Sus scrofa: one gene and its partners. The protein of the gene in region 4 purifies or fractionates together with the protein of the main gene of each other region. This does not show direct contact. Links are inferred from orthologs where the notes say so. Each region holds a gene or a part of one and is shown on either strand. Other genes may lie near its edges. The genes, in order: SF3B4, SF3B6, SNRPA1, PHF5A and SF3A3.

What was found.
Region 1: the proteins of PHF5A (region 4) and SF3B4 purify together in Homo sapiens (affinity purification with mass spectrometry; 6 studies listed by BioGRID and IntAct, with this or other methods). This does not show direct contact. The link is inferred for Sus scrofa from reciprocal best matches to the Homo sapiens genes PHF5A and SF3B4.
Region 2: the proteins of PHF5A (region 4) and SF3B6 purify together in Homo sapiens (affinity purification with mass spectrometry; 4 studies listed by BioGRID and IntAct, with this or other methods). This does not show direct contact. The link is inferred for Sus scrofa from reciprocal best matches to the Homo sapiens genes PHF5A and SF3B6.
Region 3: the proteins of PHF5A (region 4) and SNRPA1 purify together in Homo sapiens (affinity purification with mass spectrometry; 4 studies listed by BioGRID and IntAct, with this or other methods). This does not show direct contact. The link is inferred for Sus scrofa from reciprocal best matches to the Homo sapiens genes PHF5A and SNRPA1.
Region 5: the proteins of PHF5A (region 4) and SF3A3 purify together in Homo sapiens (affinity purification with mass spectrometry; 3 studies listed by BioGRID and IntAct, with this or other methods). This does not show direct contact. The link is inferred for Sus scrofa from reciprocal best matches to the Homo sapiens genes PHF5A and SF3A3.

What each region holds. Positions count from the first base shown.
Region 1 is NC_010446.5:99,126,011-99,129,972, forward strand, and holds the end of SF3B4 (splicing factor 3B subunit 4), read left to right. Parts: coding exon 1-157; intron 158-2,411; coding exon 2,412-2,585; intron 2,586-2,801; coding exon 2,802-2,989; 3' UTR 2,990-3,208; downstream 3,209-3,962. UniProt on the Homo sapiens protein: Component of the 17S U2 SnRNP complex of the spliceosome, a large ribonucleoprotein complex that removes introns from transcribed pre-mRNAs.
Region 2 is NC_010445.4:114,611,716-114,616,022, forward strand, and holds part of SF3B6 (splicing factor 3B subunit 6), read left to right. Parts: intron 1-1,367; coding exon 1,368-1,486; intron 1,487-4,307.
Region 3 is NC_010443.5:145,705,697-145,710,568, forward strand, and holds the start of SNRPA1 (U2 small nuclear ribonucleoprotein A'), read left to right. Parts: upstream 1-1,696; 5' UTR 1,697-1,774; coding exon 1,775-1,856; intron 1,857-3,352; coding exon 3,353-3,500; intron 3,501-4,467; coding exon 4,468-4,546; intron 4,547-4,872. UniProt on the Homo sapiens protein: Involved in pre-mRNA splicing as component of the spliceosome. Associated with sn-RNP U2, where it contributes to the binding of stem loop IV of U2 snRNA.
Region 4 is NC_010447.5:7,069,306-7,074,169, forward strand, and holds the start of PHF5A (PHD finger-like domain-containing protein 5A), read left to right. Parts: upstream 1-1,839; 5' UTR 1,840-2,205; coding exon 2,206-2,257; intron 2,258-2,674; coding exon 2,675-2,698; intron 2,699-3,193; coding exon 3,194-3,360; intron 3,361-4,567; coding exon of another isoform or gene 4,568-4,612; exon of another isoform or gene 4,613-4,765; intron 4,766-4,864.
Region 5 is NC_010448.4:93,973,246-93,978,246, forward strand, and holds the start of SF3A3 (splicing factor 3A subunit 3), read right to left. Parts: upstream 3,080-5,001; 5' UTR 2,914-3,079; coding exon 2,818-2,913; intron 2,549-2,817; coding exon 2,501-2,548; intron 633-2,500; coding exon 580-632; intron 477-579; coding exon 371-476; intron 1-370. UniProt on the Homo sapiens protein: Component of the 17S U2 SnRNP complex of the spliceosome, a large ribonucleoprotein complex that removes introns from transcribed pre-mRNAs.

The DNA of each region.
Region 1 (3,962 bases), on a different chromosome or scaffold from region 4:
CTTCCACCTGGGATACCCCCAGCCATGCCCCCACCACCTATGCCTCCTGGGGCTGGAGGACATGGCCCTCCATCAGCAGGAACCCCAGGGGCTGGACATCCTGCACATGGACACTCACATCCTCACCCATTCCCACCGGGTGGGATGCCCCATCCAGGTGGGTTTTCTTTGCTGGGAAGGAGAGGGATTCTTTCACCAGTTATGCTGCTGTTCTCTGTCCTTCAACAATAATAGAGAGTCCCTTTCTTTAGACATTCCTTTCTTCCAGACATTTTTTTTTTTTTGTCTTTTTGCTATTTCTTGGGCCGCTCCCGCGGCATATGGAGGTTCCCAGGCTAGGGGTCGAATCGGAGCTGTAGCCACCAGCCTACGCCAGAGCCACAGCAACGCGGGATCCGAGCCACGTCTGCAACCTACACCACAGCTCACGGCAACGCCAGATCGTTAACCCACTGAGCAAGGGCAGGGATTGAACCCGCAACCTCATGGTTCCTAGTCAGATTCGTTAACCACTGCGCCACGACGGGAACTCCCAGACATTCTTTTATAGAAACAAACACAAAATACTTTAGCCTGTTTACTTTAACAACTATCAGCCTGTTTTCATTTCTTAAAGTTTTACCGAAGAGTATAACTATACTTGCTGGGTTTTGTTTTCTTAACCTTTACTTCCATTCTTTCCTCTGACTTCCACCCCAAAGCAGTCACCTACATGCCAAGTCTAGGCTGCTCCTTATCTTGTTTGATCTTTGCTATTCTTGAAACTGGCCGTGTCCTCCTGTTTGAAAATCTTGTCTTTTTTGGTTTTTATGGATTCTCTTTCTCTCTGAATCCTCAATCTCAGCCACCTTAATAGGCTCCTTTTTCTCAGCTGAGGTTTTTGTGTCTGGCTCTCTTTTTTGCACAGTCCCATTGTTTGTACACTGATGCCACCTAGATGGGTGGCTGTTCCATGGGTATTAACATTCCATACCCTTAATCTTACTGTTTAATGGATGACTACTTTTTTTTTTTTTTTTTGTCTTTTGTCTTTTTGTTGTTGTTGTTGTTGTTGTTTTTGTTGCTACTTCTTGGGCCGCTCCCGCGGCATATGGAGGTTCCCAGGCTAGGGGTTGAATCGGAGCTATAGCCACCGGCCTACGCCAGAGCCACAGCAACACGGGATCCGAGCCGCGCCTGCAACCTACACCACAGCTCACGGCAATGCCGGATCGTTAACCCACTGAGCAAGGGCAGGGACTGAACCCGCAACCTCATGGTTCCTAGTCGGATTCGTTAACCACTGCGCCACGACGGGAACTACTGGATGACTACTTTTATACCCCTGCCCTTCAACCTTATTCTTTCTCTAGTAGTCTTAGTTTTCAGGTGCTTGATTCAGAAATCTGGGAGCTATGTTTGACTCTTCCCTGTTACCCCACTCTTTTTTTTTTCTGTCTTTTGTCTTTTTAGGGCCGCACCTGCGGCATATGGAAGTTCCCAGGCTAGGGGTCTAATTGGAGTTGTAGCTGCCAGCCTACGTACGCCACAGCTGCACCAACACCAGATCTGAGCCGCATCTGTGACCTACACCACAGCTCATGGCATCACCGGATCCTTAACCCACTGAGCAAGGCCAAGGATCGAACGCACAACCTTACGCACCATGACAGGAACTCCACCCCACTCTTAATACCAAGTCTTATTAATACCTCTGCCATCAGCCCTCATTGTCAGTGCCCTAGTTCAGGCTCTCATATCCTCATTATTCCACACCTAATTTATTGTAGTAATTTTCTGACACTTTGACTCTAATTATCTCTACCTTCGATCGACTTTCAGTGAGTAATTTTTCTAAAATATAGATGTTCACACACCCTTGCTCAAAATTCTTTTGCTCCCTTTTACCTATCGAGTAAAGGCCAAACTTGTTAGCATAGCAGTTCTAGGTTTGTCATGATCTGGCTCCTCATTGTTCCCACAACTGCATTCTCCTGATTACCGACTTACTGGTTTTCCTATAACATACTGTGCTTTTGGACGTACTTGTGCTTTGCACGTGCTAATCATTTTGCCTAGAATGTTCTGTTCCCACTTGTTGTCCCCCTGAAAAATTCCTCTTTATCCTTCAGAATTGGATCTTGGTTCAGGCAGTATCTCTGTTACCTTCTCAAATCCTATTCAATAGCATAATCGTTCCATTTGTTACATACTTCTGCAGCACTTGTACAGTGCCTAAATCATGGAAGGAGCCAGCTGGGTGGTTGGGAATTGATTGGATCATAGGTTGGTTGGTTCTCTTGCTTGGAGTCAAGGATAAGGGCACTTTTTACCAGCCTTATTTTCCTTACTCTTTTCTTTCTCATTTTCTTTGCCCCCTTGTCTGATTTTCTTTTGTCTCCTTTGTGTTTGTGTCTGTTTTGTTCTCATAGGGATGTCTCAGATGCAGCTGGCCCACCATGGCCCTCATGGCTTAGGACACCCCCATGCTGGGCCCCCTGGCTCTGGAGGGCAGCCACCACCTCGACCACCACCTGGAATGCCTCATCCTGGACCTCCTCCAATGGGCATGCCCCCTCGAGGGCCTCCATTTGGATCGCCCATGGGTGAGTAGGTTCTGGCCACCTCTCTTGTCCTCATGTGTCATATTCTTGCAGCTTCTTTAGTCACACCTCTTATCCCCTGTGTGTTCTTTCTTTTCATTCTTGTATTTCTTTTCACTGTTTGCTTGTCTCTCCTCTTCCTTCACTGTCCCAATGTTTTGTCCTATTTGTCCCAATTATCTCCTAATTGTTTTTACTAAGTTCGTTCTTTTCCTGCAGGTCACCCTGGTCCTATGCCACCACATGGTATGCGCGGACCTCCCCCACTGATGCCCCCTCATGGATACACTGGCCCTCCACGACCTCCACCATATGGCTACCAGCGAGGACCCCTCCCTCCACCCAGACCCACTCCCCGGCCTCCAGTTCCCCCTCGAGGCCCACTTCGAGGCCCTCTTCCTCAGTGATTTCTCACTGTCTTTGCTCCTGTTATGTCCTCCCAATATCTTTTCACTTCCTTGGACCAATCAGAGTTGCTGTAGCTCGCAGGGGCTAGGGCACTAATCCCTCTCAGGCCTTTTTTGTAAGTGTAATTTTTTTTCCACAGGAGGTTTTTTTTCCCCCTCTATGTTGGTCCGAAGTGCTTTGCAAATGCACAGAGAAAATAAAACTTAACTCCTTGTTTATTCTTTGTGGTGTTTTCCTTGGCAAAACAACTTCTTTTTCTCTAATAAGAGGTGTCAGTCTAATAGGGAAAGACTGGTAAGGTCAGAATAAGGGTGTTTACTCCATGGTTTAAAGGCTTATTCTGGGAGTTCCCATTGTGGCTCAGCAGGTTAAGGATCTGACATTGTCTCTGTGAGGGTGTGGGGTCTATTCTTGGCCTCACTCAGTGGGTTAAGGATCCAGCATTACTAAGCTGTGGCGAAGGTCGCAGAGGTGGCTCAGATCTGGTGGTGTCATGGCTGTGACATAAACCCCAGCTGCAGCTCTAATTCGACCCCTGGCCTGGGAACTTAAGCATGCCGCAGGTATAGCTGTAAAAATAAAATTAAATAAGTAAATAAATACAGACTTATTCTGTAATGTGCTGTGGTGGTTGCTGGACTGCTGTGTACTACAGCAGTTATTTCTTTACATTAAACTTACCCATAAGATGAAGACCCAATATCTGTGATAAAGGATTATTGTGATTATTGTGACTATTAAGTGAGAACAGAATTAAAGTTCCTGAGGTAATGCTGGCAAAAATATGAAGTAACATGCACAAAGCTATTCATTGCAGCACTCTTTGTAATAGTAGCTTGAAAACAACCCACTTATCCATCAGTAAGGATCTGGTTGAATAAATCGGTAAATCTATACAATGGAGTACTGAGAAGCAGTTAATAGAAATGAGGGAAATTCTACTTAGCTGTTTTGGAGAGATCTCCAGGATAT
Region 2 (4,307 bases), on a different chromosome or scaffold from region 4:
GGCGGGTTCTGTTTTCTCCTCACCCTCTCCAGCACATACTATCTGTAGACTTTTTAATGCTGGCCATTGCGACTGGTGTGAGGTGATACCTCATTATAGTTTTGATTTCATTCTCTAACAGCTAGCATTGTTGAGCATCTTTTCATATATCTGTCGGACATTTGTATATCTTTTTTGGAGAAATGTTTCTTTAGGTCTTCTGCTCATTTTTTGATTGGGTTGTTTGGTTTTTTGTTAAGTTATATGAGCTGTTTATATATTTTGGAAATTAAGCCCTTGTCAGTTGCATCATTTGCATATATTTTTTCCCAGTCTTTAGGGTTGTCTTTTCCTTTTGCTTATGGTTTCCTTTGCTGCACAAAAGCTTGTAAGTTTGAATAGGTCCCATTTGTTCATTTTTGCTTTTATTTATATTGCCTTGGGAGACTGACCTAAGAAAACATTGGTACAATTTATGTCAGACTGTTTTGCCTATATTCTCTTCTAGGAATTCTGTGGTATCAGGTCTTATATTTAAGTCTTTAAGCCATTTTGAGTCTGTTTTTGTGCATGGTGTGAGGATGTGTCCTAACTTCATTGATTTACATGCAGCTGGGCAACTTTCCCAACACCGCTTGCTGAAGAGACTTATCTTTTTTCTATTGATGATTTATCCCTAATTGCCTCCTTTGTTGAAAATTTGTTGACTGTAGATGGGTTTATTTCCAGGGTGTCTCTTCTGTCTGATTAATCTGTATGTCTGTTTTTCTTTGGCCAGACCATACTGTTTTGATTACTCTAGCTTTGTAGTAGTGTCTGAAGTCTGGGAGGCTTATGCCTTCAGCTTTGTTTTTTTCCCTCAAGATTGAAAGGCCTGGGTTGTGTAGTAACCCTTTATTAATTCCTACTAATAGTCTTCCCTAAAACCAGTGCCCAGTTGCTTTTCCAAAGAGCATGCCATTTTTATTAATATCAGATTATAATTCTTACTCTTGGCTTATAAAAATTATGTATCATTTTCATTAGAATATATTATGAGGAGTTCCCATCGTGGCGCAGTGGTTAACGAATCCGACTAGGAACCATGAGGTTGCGGGTTCGGTCCCTGCCCTTGCTCAGTGGGTTAGCGATCCGGCGTTGCCATGAGCTGTGGTGTAGGTTGCAGACGCGGCTCGGATCCCGCGTTGCTGTGGCTCTGGCATAGGCCGGTGGCTACAGCTCCGATTCAACCCCTAGCCTGGGAACCTCCATATGCCGCGGGAGCGGCCCAAGAAATAGCAACAACAACAAAAGACAAAAGACAAAAAAAAAAAGAATATATTATGAGAATTTTTTAAACGGTAGCACTCTTGTCTTTGATTATAACAGTATGTTATTTCTCATTTTAGATTCGACTTCCACCTGAAGTAAATCGGATTTTATATATAAGAAATTTGCCCTACAAAATCACAGCTGAAGAAATGTATGATATATTTGGGAAATATGGACCTATTCGTCAAATCAGAGTGTGAGTCTTACTGAGACTTTTGAAATGGCATTTAAAGAAAATGATTACATAATTTATCATCTCAGAATTAGCTGACATTGGGCCTGAGAGCCTAGAAACTAAGGGAAAAGTACCCATGGAGACCCTCATGGTCCAGCTTAATTAGAGCCAATAATAGTATTATGCAGTTATAGAGAGCATGAAGTAGTAATGAATGGTTTGAGGGGAATGGATGAGGAGAGAAAGGGCTAGCATTTATTATATGCCTACTGTTTATAAAGAGGTCCTCTGCTATGATTTTTATATGCATTAACTCTTAATTTTCTCAACGGTCTTCACTGTCTCCTTTACTGACAACAGAATTTCTGAATAAGCTGTGTAAAGGGATATAAAAGTAACTGAGAAAAATGATTTTATTTTTCAACTATGGAGGATTTAAAAGTATAAGGCAAAATAATTACACTACACAGCCATATGGTTTGGTTTGGTTTGGTTTTTTATGGCCACACCTGTGGTGTATGGAAATTCCCAGGCCAGGGATTGAATTCGAGCTGCAACTGCAGCAACACAGTTTCCTTTAACCCACTGCACCAGGCCAGGGATGGAACCTGCGCCTCCTCAACAACCCAAGCCACTGCAGTCACATCCTTAACCCACTGTACCATGGGGAGTACTCCCAAATCCATGTTTTAATTTAATCTAAAGATGGGCTTTATACCTTCAAGTGATATTTTTGGTCATCTACTGTATGTCACCTGTAGTTATAGTTGCTTTTATTTGCATCAGCAACCCTACAGCCCTGTGTGGAGGGGATATTGTGTCTGTTTCATCAAGGCCCAGAGAGTAAAAGTACCTTTTTGGCTTCAGACAGCTATTTAGTGATAATATCTTCTGATTCTAAATTGAATCTCTACACCACACAGTAACACAGCCACTGTCACTTTAACTAGTATAAATGAGCCAATTACCTAAGAGTCCATTAAAAGGATTTCTAGAGTTTTTATTTTTAGTTGGAATAATTCTTTTTTGGTCTTTTTTTGTCTTTTCTAGGGCTGCACCCATGGCATATGGAGGTTCCAATATGGAGGCTAGGGGTCCAATTGGAGCTGTAGCCACTGGCCTACACCACAGCCACAGCAACACTGGATCCGAGCCATGTCTGCAACCTACACCACAGCTCATAGCAACACCGATCCCTAACCCACTGAGCGAGGCCAGGGATTGAACCCACAACGTCATGGTTCCTAGTCGGATTCACTTCCACTGCGCCACGACGGGAACTCCCAAATGATTCTTAATAACTGTTCTTTTATGACTTGAGAGCGCATTCTTGGCTTTTAAAACTCTGTGAGACCTTGAGGACTCTCCTTTTCAATGATCACTGTCCCTCCAAAAAGTAAACCAAGAGCTAGAAATACATCATCACTGCTACTCAAACAAGAATGAAAATGAAGGAGTTCCCGTCATGGCTCAGTGGTTAACGAATCCAACTAGGAACCATGAGGTTGCGGGTTCAATCCCTGGCCTCACTCAGTGGGTTAGGGATCGGTGTTGCCGTGAGCTGTGGTATAGGTCGCAGACACGGCTCAGATCTGGCGTTGCTGTGGCTATGGTGTAGGCCAGTGGCTACAGCTCCAATTTGACCCCTAGCCTGGGAACCTCCATATGCCGTGGGTGTGGCCCTAGAAAAGACAAAAAAAAAAAAAAAAAAGAATGAAAATGAAGTTTTATAGACCAGCTGTCCTTTTTAGGAAGTCTTTTTGCCCTAAAATGAAAAAAAAAAGCAAATAATGTTAGCTTAGTGCCTAACATATAATAGGTACCAAGTACATGTTTTTAAAAATTAAAATTACAGTGTGGTTGATAATAGGTTGGTAATTAGGGGCTGGGTACTTAAGATGGAGAGTCTTTAAAATGAAGTTAGAGGGAGTTCCTGTCATGGCTCAGTGGTTAACGAATCTGACTAGTAACCATGAGGATAAGGGATAGATCCCTGGCCTCATGCAGTGGGTTAAGGATCTGGTGTTGCCCTGAGCTGTGGTGTAGGTTGAAGACTCGGCTCAGATCCCATGTGGCTGTGCCTGTGGCTTAGGCCGATGGCTACAGTTCTGATTTGACCGCTAGCCTGGGAACCTCCATATGCTGCGGGTGCAGCCCTAAAGAGACAAAAAGACAATAATAATAAATAAATAAATAATAATAATAAATAAATAAAATGAAGTTAGTGCCTACCTATTCTGCTTTCTAAGAAGATGTAAGGAAGAGATCCTTTTGTTTTGTTAGCTTCCTACAGAAAAGATATGTGAGAGGATTGATAGGAAAAAGTAGATCTCTACCCTTCAAATGCTTATTAGTATTTGCTGTAATCATAGTACTGTGGGAGTGAAATAAACTATACACTCGTGTTTGCTCTTAAGGAACTTTAAATGTTGCTAAGTTCTTTTGGTTTTGTTTTGGCCATACCCACAGCATTTGGAAGTTCCCAGGCCCGGGATTGAACCCATGCCACAGCAGCTACCCAAACTGCTGCAGTGACTCTGAATTCTTAACCAGCTATGCCACAGGGGAACTCCACAAATGTCGCCAAGTTTTTTAATGGTTTTATTCTGAAGGAAAAATTAGGTAGACTTTTTGGGAAAATCTTCGGGACAGTGTTTTTCCTTTGGGTAGTCCCCAGTTCTCATACCTAAAACATTCTTGAAAATGGTCAAAAGTCCTAAAGTTGTTAGATTATTTGCAGAGTAAGGAATTTTATAAAATTCTCCATCAGGCCTATGCTGCCTGACAGAATGAGAGTGTTCAGTGTCACTGGCACCCTCTAACCACCCAGTACCCTGTACCT
Region 3 (4,872 bases), on a different chromosome or scaffold from region 4:
CTGGCATTGCTGTGGCTGCAGTGTAGGCTGGCAGCTGTAGCTCCGATTCACCCCCAGCCTGGGAACTTCCATATGCTGAGAGTGCAGCCCTAAAAAGCAAACAAACAAAAAAAGACCAAAGACACCATTGTCAATGGGGAGGGCCTTCTCAGCCAAGAATTTCTTCCTCCAAAGTCTCTTATTTAATTGGACCATTTGAAAGCTCAGGATGGGTTGGCAGATTGTATTGTTTTTGTTTTTTTGCAAAATAGGCGAGGCAGTCACATTTCTTATCCTTCTGATTAAAATTACAGCCCAGATTATGATTTTGGTGATTTGGGAAATAAGATGTTTTCTTAAACAGACCAAAATGTACTAAAATTTGTGTTTTGCAGCTTGATGATGTATACGAGGACAGTATTTTGGCTTCCTGTGAGGTGTTTGGTATTTAGGAAGTTTAAACTACTACCCCCCAAAAAAGAGTAAAAGGCAAGCCATATAGTATGCTCACACTCAGAATATATAAAGAAATCTTAAAAGGAATAAGAAAAAAGAAAACCCACTAAGAAAAAAAATGGGAGAAAGACTTGAATGGGCACTTTGTAAAAAAATATCAGAATGGACAATATGCTTAACTATTATTAGAAAAAAGCAAATGAAAGCAATAGTGCACTGGTACTCACCAGAATTGCTAAAATTATGAAGACTGACAGTGCAAATGAGGTTAATGTTGGCAAGTGATGGAAACCCTTACACACCACTACAGTGTGGAAATGATTCCAGCCTCTTGGAAGTTATCATCAGGCAGTACCTATCAATAATACCACACACTTTGTCTCCTTAGTTTCACTCCTGGAAAAGTTCAGGCACAGGTGCATGCGATCCACGTACAACAAAATTCATAGCAGCATTATGCAGACTAGCCCCAAGCTGGAAACAAACCTAATGTCCATCGACAGCGAAATGGATTGTTATGGTGTAAGAGACGCAATAGAATTCTATACAGCAGCAAGTAAGCAAATCATTGCTGCCTGCAACCTGGATGGATTTTAGGCATGACACAGAGCCAAAGAAACCAGATACAAAAACAGATTGCATCATTCTCTTTATATAAAAGTAAGCAAAACTAATCTATGGTGACGGATTCGTAGTTCCCTTTGGGGAATGAAGGAGTCTCCGAATTTCAGGACCCCAGCAGCAGCCACCCAAATGTGCTCACTCTGTGGGCATTTGTCATGTTGCAGACTTTAGATCTGCACACTTCCTGTGTTATCAGGCTTCAGCATGAATATCTAATTGTCTAGAGAGGGCAGGCCTGACTGCAAACTAGACCAGTGCGGAAGACCCAGGCTTGGTCTTCATGGTGTCACCCGGATGCCAAAGCCCGGGACCCATCACTGAATCCCATGGGCGGAGTGAAAGCAGTCACTGCCTCCCTTTCACCTCTAGGTGTCCTGACGCACGCGAAAGTTCCACTCGTGGGCTTTCACTCTTTATTAACTTGCGGACACAAATATCTGGACTCGGGGGCACTGCAGGCCGAAGCTGCACAAGAGGAACGAACTCAGAACCAGATGCGCCGCGGAGAGCGCGGGAGCTAAAGCCCAAAAGCTGTGCCCGAGCCCGGGGGCGGGGCCGATCACGGAGGAAATGGCTCCTCGATTGATTAGGCCTGGGAGCCGCGCTGTTAGCACACGCCGGAAGCGATTGATGCTGCCTGGCGGCGGGCGCGGGGTACGCCGGGACGTCGGTGCGGCGGGAGGAGCGGGAGACACTGCAGGCGGGAGGCGACAGGATGGTGAAGCTGACGGCGGAGCTGATCGAGCAGGCGGCGCAATACACCAACGCCGTGCGGGACCGCGAGCTGGACTTGCGAGGTGAGTCGGGCGGGGGCGGGCGGCCCGGCCTCCCCGCCCGCTCGGCGGCCTGCGCCCGCCGCGTGCGCGAAGGGCGGGAACGTGGCCTGGGGCGTGCGTCCCGGTTCCTACCCCGGCTGAGTCCCGCTGTCGTCGGCGAAACGCCGACCCTGGACTCCTTCGAGGCTCTCCTTAGCCCAGCCCCCACCGCCCGGGACCGCCTCGATGCTTGGGTCAGACCGCGGGGCCGGTGCCGGGCCTGCCGAGTGACCTGAGCCGTTGGGGGGCGGGGAAGTACACGCCTGCGGGGTGGGCTGAGCCGTTGGGGTGCTGAGCCGTGTTTGTGATCCTCGTGCGGACCGAGATACGGTAAAGTGAAGTCATGAGAATATAGGTTGGGTATGGGACGGAGGAAGTGAAGTCCGGAGCAAAAGCGATTTTTTTTCCCGGCTTTTCCTCCTCCTTAGCTTCAAGGATCTATTTCCCTTTTGCCAAAACCTTTCAAAGAGCAGACTGTTTCAGCCACGCTAGGGCTGCCGGATGTCTTGCGTCTATAAGGGAGGCGGAAGTCCTCCAGACTATTAGATTCCTGTGGCAACTCGTCTGCATAGTAGGAGAGGCTTTAGAAAGGGTGTGAAGGACGACTTCTCCGGGGTTAAGTGTTGGCTTGAGATCCACCCCCACGGGGGAGAACACCGTCTCAGGAGCAGCACTGCTGCGGGCCCTGCTTTCTGCTTGCTTTTTTGTTTGCTGACATAGTACTTTCGTTTTGTTGAAATTAAATATCATAGGTTCGACTCAAGAGTAACCCACCGCTTTCATACTCTTGGCACAGGCTGATGTCTGCCTGAGTTTGAAGTGCATCCGGTGTTGAGAATGCTCGTTTTGGTACAGCACTTAACTTTGAGCCTTTAGAGCTCTGAAATGTGTACTTATTTAACCTTGCCTAGGTTAACTTCTTTTCTTCTCCTAGCACCTAAGACAATAATTATGCCCCTAGAAGACAAATCAGTGAGCGTTTGAGTGAGTTGTTCACAAGGTGATTTACCATTGTGTACAAATTGACCTTCAACTCTGGGTTGGGCCTCTGGGAGGTGAGAGAAGTGGGAACTGTCATGATACGAAGATATCCAAATGAGTTCTGGGAATCTGACCTGTGGAAATGCAAAAAAGGTTGGGAGCTATTACTGTCCACAATACGTGGACAAGGCTTGGACACTGACAGTAGGCAGCTCACAGTGTAAAGTCCTGTTAGGCCACTTCATTAGCTTTGGGGCCTTGCTTAGAACAATACAAGGCACCTTGTAAGTATACTTGGAAATGTTAGCTACCTATTAGTATTACTGTTAGCGAGTATTCTCATCTTTATTGCCCTTGTAATCAACCAGTGCTTTGGCAGTGTTTGGCACAGCATAGGTGCTAGATAAACAACTTTCTGATTGAATGAAAGCTTTGAGTCCAATTACCATGAAATGCTGCTAATGTTTCCTTGTGTGTTTTTTCCCTCCTTTCTCCAGGGTACAAAATTCCTGTCATTGAAAATCTAGGTGCTACCTTAGACCAATTTGATGCCATTGATTTTTCTGACAATGAAATCAGGAAACTAGATGGTTTTCCTTTGCTGAGAAGACTGAAAACATTGTTAGTGAACAACAATAGAATATGGTAAGTGTCTACTAGTGGAAAGTAATTTTTGTTCCCCTAGAGTAAATGTAGCAGAGTTCCATAAAGAAGTTGCAGTATTGCCAGTTACACCTACGTATTTCTTAAATGGAAAATGAACTACACTTTTCCCATACAGATCCAGAGATGAATTTGGTATTGGTCTGGTCTTACTTGCATCTATTCAGAAATCTTGTATTATTTATGTATTCATGGTACATTTCTAATTTAAGTTAAAAACCTACTGCTTTGGGGAGTTCCCATTATGGCTCAGCAGGTTAAGAACCCAGCTAGTATCCATGAGGATCTGGGTTCAATCCCTGGCTTTGCCTGGTGGTTTTAGAATCTGGCATTGCCATAAGCTGCGGCATAGGTAGCAGATGTGGCTCGGATCTGGCATTTCTGTGGCTGTAGTGTAGGCCGGCAGCTTTGGCTTTCATTTGACCCCTAGCCTGGGAACCTCCATATGCTGTGGGTGCAGCCTTAAAAAGACACACAGACACACACACACACACACACAATAGAAGTGCTGGGTAGTGAGTTGCTTTTTTTTAAATGCCCATTATTTCTCGTGAGTTAACTATTCCACTGTGGTTTGCTTACTGGCTTATCTTGTGCCTGAGCTCTGACTGCAGAATCACTTATGTTTTTGGGCTTCACACAGGTCCTGAGATGAACTAAGTAGTCTGTTTTACACAGGAATTTCTTGTCTTTGGTTTCGTTAAGATAGTGTGGCAGTAGGAAGGGCCCTGGACATCTTTCAGGAGATGTGGGTTTTAAAGTCATCCTACTTCTGTCACCTGTGTGACCTCAGACAGTTCTTTTTGTGCCTTATTTTCCTGTCAGGGTCTTGGAAGAAAGATCTCTTAAGTTTCTTCCCACTCTGAAGCCCTCTGAGCAAGGGCTCAGATAAAATTTTTAGCTGACTTAATTTGCATGTTTACTAAGAGTCCTTCTGTTTTTATTTCAGCCGTATAGGTGAGGGACTTGATCAGGCTCTGCCCTGTCTGACAGAACTCATTCTCACCAACAATAGTCTTGTGGAATTGGTAAGTTGAACAGGGGAAGAATGTATTTGGGGGGAGGAATTAAAGGTACTACATTTCTTTTATAGAAAACTTGGAAAACCCAGAAAATTATCCCCTCGTTCTTTTTCTTGGTCTTTTTCTTAATTCAGGAAATGGGCCTTTTGGGGTTTTGTTGCAGATATCTTCCCATTCGCGAGCTCACCTTTTGACACCGAGGATCTTGATAGAGAAATTCCTAATTTAAGCATAGTTCATTTTATCAATCTGTTGTTGTTAGTGCTTTTGCGTTCTGTTAAGCTACCCCATCCCAGGGTCATAAAGAACCTTGCCTATTCTCTTTTCTAGAA
Region 4 (4,864 bases):
GGCATGGGTTCAATCCCTGGCCCAGGAAATTCTGCAGGTGTGGCCAAAAAAAAGAATACAACCTGTGGTACTGGTATGGTCCAGATCTCTTTCTGTAGGGGTCTAATGGTCATGCTTTCCAAAATCCTGTGTCAGTTCAAAAATACTGTGATATCAGTCCTCTCTTCCAGGCTCAACAGATCTGTAATAATTTATCTTTTCAAACAATCTTGCCCAGATTCACTACAGATGGGACAGCAAGATCAGCAAGAAACAACTACTTCCACATTGTTAACTTGGAGAAACAAAAAAATCTAAGAGAAAATTTGGACAAATCCTTGTCTTTGCCCAGAATTGAGAGACCCTAAGTATTTTAAGATAAATGATTTCCCTTTAAACCATATGGTTTAAATTTTAGCAATGTAACTTTAAAAAAAAAAAAAAAAACTTCTGACAACACAATACTTTCTGAGAGTACAGTACACTACTTCTTTTTAAATTCTGCAATAATAGTTGTGCTACTTGATCCAATGTAGATTCACAAATTTAAATGTAAAAGGTTGTCGGAGAATGCTTGCTTGATTTTTTATTAACGAAATACGTTCTTGACATTGAACCTTTGAGTGTAACATCTTCCTAGGGTTGTCAAGTCAGGAGTGAAAAAAAAAGAAATGGCAGTCAGTCAATCTTCTAGATGGTTCAAAAGAGGACAGTCAAGGTCAAACTGTTGAGTCTCTTTTACCCTCCCCATCTAGTAACTGAAAAGCAACTGATTGTGAGCTCAAAATACGCCATTCTGGAACTCCCACAAATACAAATGTCAGCTCCAGGACCACACTCTGGCTCAAAAAGTTCTGTGAGGGCAGGCTGAAAGGGACAAGGAGAATGGGGAGTAGTAGGGCAGATGCTCAGGCCACAGCACTTTGGTAAGACTCAGAGAGCAGAACTTTTACCTGTTTTCTAACAGCGTCATCACCTATCAAATAAAAATAATCATCTCCAGAAATGATGATATGAATCAAACGATGTGGTGAGGAATTAAGTCTTGCAATCTTGTGCAAAGCTGAGAGACTACTGTCATCATTACTATTTGCTACATCTGGGCACGGAACCCACCCCCTCGAATTCTTGGGTACATGTTCCGCAGGATCCCCACAAGATGGAATAGGTCATAGTTTTTTTTTTTTCCCCCCCTACAGACTCCATGTTTGGCAACCGTAGATGCACCTGGCTAGCAACTCTGTGCTACTGAGATGAAAAGTGAGGCCTTCAGGCTCTGGGCCTAGCGCGCTTACCAACCACCGCGCCCCCCAGTCACCTTGTCCTCACCTTGAGGAACGGGGGAGGAAAAAAAAAAAAAAAAAAAAAAGCCTTACGGGGGAAGAAACTGCGGTCCTCAAAAATGAGAAAGACGTGCCTCCACTCTTCACCCGGCCGCCGCTTCTTAGGCCCTTGCTTCCAGCGGGGCGGGGACAGGGCTGAGAGCTGACTGAGCCGGGGACGCCCTGACCTCGGGCGCCAGAGGAGCGGGTATTTGCGCTGGGCCCGCGCAAGGGACAGGTACGCGAAAAGTCGGCCGGAGGTCAGGCCCGCCTCGCCTTGCCTTGCCCATAGCCGCAAGCGCAAAAGAGGTACCCCGCCCCCGTAAACCTAGAGGGCTCTCGGTTCGCTCACCTGCAGCCGGGTCACCAGTAGGCTGTAAGGCGCCATTTTGTGCACTGACAAAGATGAGGTCGCTTGAAAGTGACGTGACACGCGGCTTATTTAAGGCCTTCGGTGAGGGGCGTGACCTGAGGAGAAACGCGTCACGCTGAAGGCGTTCCCGCGAGCGACGTGGGCGGAGCTCCAGAGTCAACCTGGGAATTGGGAGAGAGCTGCCTAAAAAGTTGGGGTAGTAAATACCCGGCACAAAGATATCAAAGTGCAAATTTCGTCTTTGCGCTCTGCAACTTGTCCCTCCCATTCAAATCTGGGAAAGTTTTTTTTTTTTTTTTTCCCTAAATGACCCGCACACCCCTACCAAGACCTGACTCCCCCACTGCCAACGGGAATTCGTCTTCGGAATTTAAGTGCTTTGATCACGCGAGAATGAGCGGGGCTTGGTGCAAAGATTGCAAACGCTGATGGACGCCTAGAGAACCAATCAGGGCGACGAGGAGGCAGGAACAATCAGGGTTAAAGGTCTGGCGGAAGCTCCCTAAGCTTCCGGTGGTTTGAGCGCGAGCGATGGCTAAGCATCACCCGGACTTGATTTTTTGCCGCAAGCAGGCTGGTGTTGGTGAGACGGTCTTCTGCCCCCGGCTGTTTGGGTGGGGATGGTATTAGGACCTTAAGAGTCCGGGGTTCCCATTACTCCTTTAGGGTGTTGCTTCGGAGGCGCCCCGTTTCCCGCCTCGCCGCCGGTAGTGTAGGAGCGCGTGGGTTTGTGGGCTCAGATGAAAGGGGGGCGGGGGCGCGCGTGCTGAGAGCTGGAGAGGGGCTGCGGAGATAGAGAAATTCTCAGTTTTCCCAGGACCTGGGAGGTCTTACGAGGGTGCGGATTTGGTTCGGATTGAAGTTTATGAGAATACGATGGTTAAGACCTCTCAGGGCTCACTGCAGACCCTGTACCTGTCCCCAACTCAAGCTCGAGGCTTTTGTCCCCTCTTCTAAACCTTAATCCTAATTGTACTCTTTATCACCTTTGATCTTGCAGCCATTGGAAGACTGTGTGAAAAATGTGAGTGGAACACGCTTCTCCAAACAGCCCACCCCTCCCACTCAGCTTCTATAGTGGCAGCAACGGACATTTTCAGCGGTGCCACGAAGAGGGCTTTGGATAGACATGATTGGAAGCATGTTAATACAAAGCCAGACTGCAACTAAAGGCCACCTTCCCGCTCCAACTTGTACATTTTAGGCACTGTATTTAGGTTTTGACAAAACCTCTAGCTTTGGACCAGAAGTAGCATGACCCTGCCCCCAACACACACAGCATTCTGCCAGTCAATTATATAGACTTATCTACCGACTGCTATTCTAAGCCCTTTATATTAATTGATTAGCTTTCCTATGTGTTGGGGAGATTGAGAAATGGACGCTAGGTAAACCAATTTTATAATGCCAAAATAGAGGGCTAAAGTCACTGTCAGAAGGACATAGTGTTTTTACCCATAGCAGGAAGAGGACCTGAGGTACTTGCAAGTGGGCGTAATTCAACCTCTTTTCCTTACAGGTGATGGCAAGTGTGTGATCTGTGACTCCTACGTGCGTCCCTGCACCCTGGTGCGCATATGTGACGAGTGTAACTATGGCTCTTACCAGGGGCGCTGTGTGATCTGCGGAGGCCCGGGAGTTTCAGATGCCTATTATTGTAAGGAGTGCACCATCCAGGAGAAGGATGTGAGTGTATACTAAGCTTTTCCTCTGATCTTTCCTTTCGTTTAGGAACACTTGGCCATCCACAGCAGACTCCTATGGTCAGGAGATGGCTGTTCAGCCAGTCACCTAGGTTATAATTTTCAAGTTCTGTAAACCAAACTGGGTGTACTCCAACAAAAGGTAGTTATTTTGCATCAAGTACACAAAGGCGAGAAAAGCAAATTTTTGTCAACACTGGCAATTTGATGTCTTTCTCTCTCTCTTTTTTTTTTTTTTTGGCTGTGTCCACATGTGGACGCTCCCAGGCCAGGGATGAACCATGCTGCTGTTGTGGCCTGTGCCACAGCTACGGCAATGCCAGATCCTTAACCTACTGCACCACAAAGGAACTTTCTCTCTCTTTTTTTTTTTCCCCCCAGAAACTATGCTGCATTTTTAAATCATACCACAGTGCATGATGTGCAGAAGTCACTAATTTGTGCTACCATTAAGGAACGTTAGGGTGGATGTGATGACTTTTGAATTTGGGACAGTTCAAGTTCATTTCAGCTCTGAGTGGCTAGAGAGTGCCTTTGGTTGATTTTGCAGAATTGATTGTAATTCTTGCTCATGGCATTTTTGCCCCTTGACATTTTTTTGGTGCCAGTGGCTTTTTTTTTTTTTTTTTTTTGCTATTTCTTTGTGCCGCTCCCGTGGCATATGGAAGTTCCCAGGCTAGGGGTCAAATCGGAGCTGTAGCCACTGGCCTACGCCAGAGCCACAGCAACGCAGGATCCGAGCCGCCTCTGCAACCTACACCACAGCTCGTGGCAACGCCGGATCCTTAACCCACTGAGCAAGGGCAGGGATCGAACCCGCATCCTCATGGTTCCTAGTCAGATTCGTTAACCACTGCACCACGACGGGAACTCCGGTGCCAGTGGCTATTTATTCAACTCTTTGAGCCAGGATAGAGGGCTTGTAGATCTATTCCAAAAGCAGGCTTGGGGTAGGGGAGGTTAATCAGCTTTTATTCATATGACACAATAAATAAAAGGAAATGTGATATAGTACCAGTAGACTATTTATTATAAGGTATCTGGTTACCTAATCTAGGATAAGGCATGAGATAAAATATTTCTTAATTTTTCCTTGTGCAAAGAATAGGTAGTTTCTATGTGGGTATTATCTTCCATATTCTTCACAGTAACTTTGTTAAATAGGGATTATTACTATCCCCCTTTTACAGTCTGTCCTGCAGCTAATAAGGGGCAAGCCCCGGCTGTCTGTCTAAACCTGGTGATAGCTGCAATACACCTTATGGTCCTTTTGGTGGGATGTGCCTGGTTGACGAGAAGCAACTCAGCAATCTTTACATTTGGATCCTGTCTACCTTTAATAAGTGGGACATGTCACACCAAATAAAACTTTTTTTTTACACCATTAAGTCTTCTCTTATTTAGGGAGATGAGAAAGATCATAAAGTACCAAAGACAAATTTTCCCTTGGTGATGTGAACATTCTCCTGTCCTAAACTCTGATTTGT
Region 5 (5,001 bases), on a different chromosome or scaffold from region 4:
GACTGGGCGGGGAGATCCTAGACCATGATGCAGACAGCTACCCTCTGATTCAGCACAATGGGGAGCTCTGGAGCAAATATTCCTCATTAGAAGAGTCTCACGTTGGGCAGAAATAACCAGGCCATGGTACCTGCCTCTGTGCTCGGTCTCTGGCTGGGGACTGCCTAAGAAGAGAATGGCCTTAGCTTAAACCTAGGGAGAATCTGAAAGCACTGGAGTTGTAGTATGTCAGCTAGTTATGCTCCCTGCAGTTAAATGGCACGTTCTTTTTTGAAGGGACACATGAGTGGCACAAGTCTCTTTTCCTCCTATCTTTCTCTTTAGTATGCTCTTTGGACAGGTTTGGGGAAAATACTTCCCAAGGTCATACCTCGTTTGGGTGTTTCCGGTGGAATTCCTTTATCTGCTTGAGTCTATTATAGAATTCAGCAAACTCGTTGGGTCCTGAAATGGCATTGAGCTCCTCCTTCCGTAACCTGCAATTTCAGAAAAAATCCATAGAACATGGAACACAAAATCAGTCCTCTAGTGACAGCTCCTCAGGAGGAATAATTTCTGGATTGGCTGACTGTCACTTACCCATCCTTATCATCATACAAATCCCTCAGGTTCCCACTGACTTCCATATACCTCTGAAAGGCAAACACAAACCCATCAGAATGAAGCAATCTGTACAATTTAGACCCAAGCAACCAAAAAGGGCTTTCTAGTCAAAGCCCAAGGAAACCTTAAGAGATGTGCTTTAAAAGTTCTTGTCAGGAAAAAAAAAAAAAAAAAAGTTCTTGTCAGGAGTTCCTGTTGTGGCTTAATGGAAACGAATCTGACTAGCATCCATGAGGATGCAGGTTCGATCCCTGGCCTCGCTCAGTGGGTCAAGGATCCAGTGTTGCCGTGAGCTGTGATTAGGTGGAAGACGCGGCTTAGATCGGGTATTGCTGTGGCTGTGGCATAGGCCAGTGGCTACAGCTCCAATTCGACCCCTAGCCTGAGAATCTCCATATGCCATAGGTGCGGCTCCCCCCAAAAAAGAAAAGTTCTTGTGCTTTCTGGGATCTATAATACACAGCATTGGTTCCTAGTCAGTTTTTCAAACAGGTTATTTTGAAGATTACCTAAGTGATGTGATTTGAGGGGTGGCAGAGTTCCCATATTTAACTCTCCCTAGAAGATCTAAAAGTGAACCATATAAGGAAGTCACTCTGATACAAAGCAGTTCCCACCTAAGACCCTCAAAGATAAACGGATAGTCAAAGATGTTTTCCATTATTTCAAAAAGCTTGTCTGAGGAGTTCCTGTCATGGCTCAGCGGAAAAATAATCTGACTAGGATCCATGTGGATGCAGGTTCGATCCCTGGCCTCAATCAGTGGGTTAAGGATCGGGCGTTGCCGTGAGCTGTGGTGTAGGTCACAGACATAGCTCGAATCTGGTGTGGCTGTGGCTGTGGTAATGGCTGGCGGCTACAGCTCCGATGTGAGCCCTAGCCTGGGAACCACCATGTGCCGCGTGTGTGGCCCTAAAAAGACAAAAAAAAAAAAAAAAAAAAAAAAAAAAAGCTTAACTGAGGAGTGCACATGCTAAATAAAACATCACACAGTCTCCTCCAGATTCAAACTCAGGATGGAACAAGTACACAGTCTCTTCTCCAAAGCTTTCAGGACCAGATTTGTTTCAGAATTTGAAGTTTTTAATTTCAGGAAGGCACTATATATAATATACCTAGTGGAATCTGGAACACACATTAATAGTTCTGCAGTGAAATTTATGCACTATTTATTCAATGGGATAAAGACAATAAAAAGGTCTCTCATCTGTTCATATCAAGTCAGATTTTTGCCACCAAGTAATTAAAAGAACAAATAACCTTTTGTTTTTGGAGTACTTTGCTTTTGGGAATTTAGCTAAGGGACTAGGGCTTATAATATTAATTATGTCCTCCAAACTAGAAATTCTGATTAGATCTTTTTTCCCTTTCTAAATAGGTTTCAAACACGCAAAAACAGAGCTAGAAAGCACAGTATAATGAACCTCCACTTACCTACCACTCAGTTTTAATACGTACCAACATTTTAGTTTTGACTCTTTCTAAAAAAAAATGGAACTATTACTAGAAAAATGCAGCCTGGTAAGCAAAAAATATTTCAATACAGTGTTCTGAGAGGAAAACACTAATACACAGCATTCTCTTTGGGGGAGAAGGCAGAGTACCGTCTGAGTTTGAATCACTATAACTACTCTTTGGTCATCCACTGGACAGAGGAGGCTTTAAAGAGGCATCTTCCCCGGTAATGAATAATGAATGAGTTTCCCATTCAAAGAAGTGAGCAAGGGCAGTTAAGCACCCTCAGGTTTGGCAGCGTGTGGACATTTGGCAGGCATACAAACCCTCGACTGGCCAATCTGGTTACCTGTGGCCAGGGCTCCTGTTGACACCCGTGTCCCCCCTCCTCCCTCTTCCAGTCCATCACGACCCAAAGAGAAGCGAACAGCAGGGCACTCACATCTTGCATGGCCCGTGTGCGGTGGTCAGAATTGATCTGGTCCCGGAGCTGAAGAAAGGCAAACGGTGACAAGGACGCCGTTAGTCGTTGTTCTGGAGTTAGGACGGGCGCCCGAGGGCGGAGCTTACCCGCTCAGGTCTTAGCGGCCCAAGCCGAGAGGCCTCTGGGCGCAGGGCCCGGGGAGAATGTTACCAAGGCGAGAGTTTCGGGAGCGAGTCCGGGGAGGGGGCGGGCGCGGAGCAGGTCTGGGGCTCTCTGAGGTTAAACACGGGCAAGGGGCCCAGTTTCAGGGGTACCCCTGCCCAGGCCCCACTCACCGTGGACTTCTTGGTGAGCATCTCTTTAGCCATGACGTCCATAAGCCGTTCCTTCTCCTCATGATAGCGCCGCTGTTGCTCCAGAATCGTCTCCATCGTCCCTCCTCCCGAGCCGCAAGGCGGACCACCGAAACGGCCGGAAACGACTTCTGCCGCCTTGCGCGCCCGCGTCGCCGAGCCGCGCGTCCGGCTGCACCAAAGTTCCGCGGCTGCCGGAAGTGCTTCGAAGACTCGACGAAAAGTGAGCACCGCGGGAGACCCAATCAGTGCTCGGGACACGGCTGCAGTGCCCCCTGCTGGCCGGGGGTGTGTTGCGCGATGCCCAACGGTTTCCAGGTGCCTCTAGGGGGCAGGCAGATATCCACCAACACCCTGGCTTCAAGGGATCTGACCTGGTTTTCCGGGGCCTCCTGAGGCCGAGAGGGTAGGAAACTGGATGAGTGGTTGAAGCGTATGGATGGGAGTAGGGAACCGGAACTTGAGTCTCCAGCTCTTTGTGTGACCTTTGACAAAGTTTTTCTCTTCTCGGGACCTCCGTGTCCTTGTCAGTAAAATGGGGATGAGAGCAGGGTTTTTTTTCTTTTTTTCTTTTTTTTTTTGCTTTTTAGGGCCGCACTTGCAGCATATGGAGGGTTCCAGGCTAGGGGTCCAATCAGAGCTACAGCTGCCGGCCTACACCTTAGCCACAGCAACGCAGGATCCCAGATGCTTCTGCGACCTATACCACAGCTCACCACAACGCCAGATCCTTAACCCACTGAAAAACGCCAGGGATTGAACCCACTACCTCATGGTTCTTAGGTGGATTCGTTTCCACTGCGCCACGACGGGAACTCCTCCTTTCCTTTTCTTTGCCTTCCTTCCTTTTTCTTTCTTTCTGCATATGTGGAAGCATCCTAATTGTCGATCAGCAGGGGGCTGGTTAAATAAAATATGGTACATCCAAGAAGCAAAATGCTATTCGGCTTTAAAAAAAAAAAAAGTGAAGCAAGTCCATATGTCCACTTCTAGGTAGAGAAATGAAAACAAGTCCATATGTTCAGATGTTCATAGCAGTGATATTCATTATAGACAGAAACAGGATGCAACTCACAAATCCATTAACTGGTAAATGGGCAAACCAAATGTGATGTGTCCATATAATGGAATATTATTCAGCAATAAAGGAATGCTGAGATATGGACGAACCATGAAAACATCACACTAAGTGAAAGAAGCCAGACACAAAAAGTGACATAGCTTATGTCCAGATGGCATATCTATACACAGTAAACGAGTGGTTTCCTGCTGCTGGAGGTGAGACAGGAAGCAACTGCAAAAGACACAGGAAATCTTTTGGGGGATGATAAAAATGTTCTAAAATTGGATTGTGGTGATAGTTGCACAGCTGTGATAAATTTCCTAAAATTAATTGAATTGTACACTTAACTTGGGTGAATTTTATGGTATGTAACTTCTACCTCAGTAGAAGCTGTTTAAAAATTCTGTTGGGGGAGTTCCTGTTGTGGAGCAGCAGAAACAATTCTGACTAGTATCCATAAGGATGTGGGTTTGATCCCTGGCCTCACTCAGTGGGTCTGGGATCTGGTGGTGCTGTGAGCTGTGGCGTAGATTGCAGATGCAGCTCAGATACAACCCCTAGCCTGGGAACTTCCATACAGTGCGGGCCCTAAAAAGCAAAAAAAAAAAAAAAAAAAAATCTGTGTGAACTCAGATGGAAAGATGGTCACGAAAAATGAAAAAACCTAGAGGAGTTCCCGTCGTGGCCCAGTGGAAACGAATCTGGCTAGGAACCAGGAGGTTGTGGGATTTGATCCCTGGCCTCATTCAGTGGACTAGGGATCCGGCGTTGCCGTGAGCTATGGTGTAGTCACAGACGCAGCTTGGATCCCAAGTTGCCATGGCTCTGGTGTAGGCCAAGGCTACAGCTCCTTCTGGACCCCTGGCCCGGGGACCTCCATATGCCGAGGGTATGGCTCTAAAACGCAAAAGAAAAACAAAAACATTAATAACTAAAAAATGAAAATACATAGGTGTACATGCCTGCTTAATAAAAAAGAACTAGGGGGTTATATCAAGGAGTTATTAGTGATTTACTGTCTCTGCTTTTCAGCATTCTCCAAGTTTTCTGCAATAAGCATGCTTTGCTTTTTGTTTATTAGTTTTAAAAACAACATAAAGATA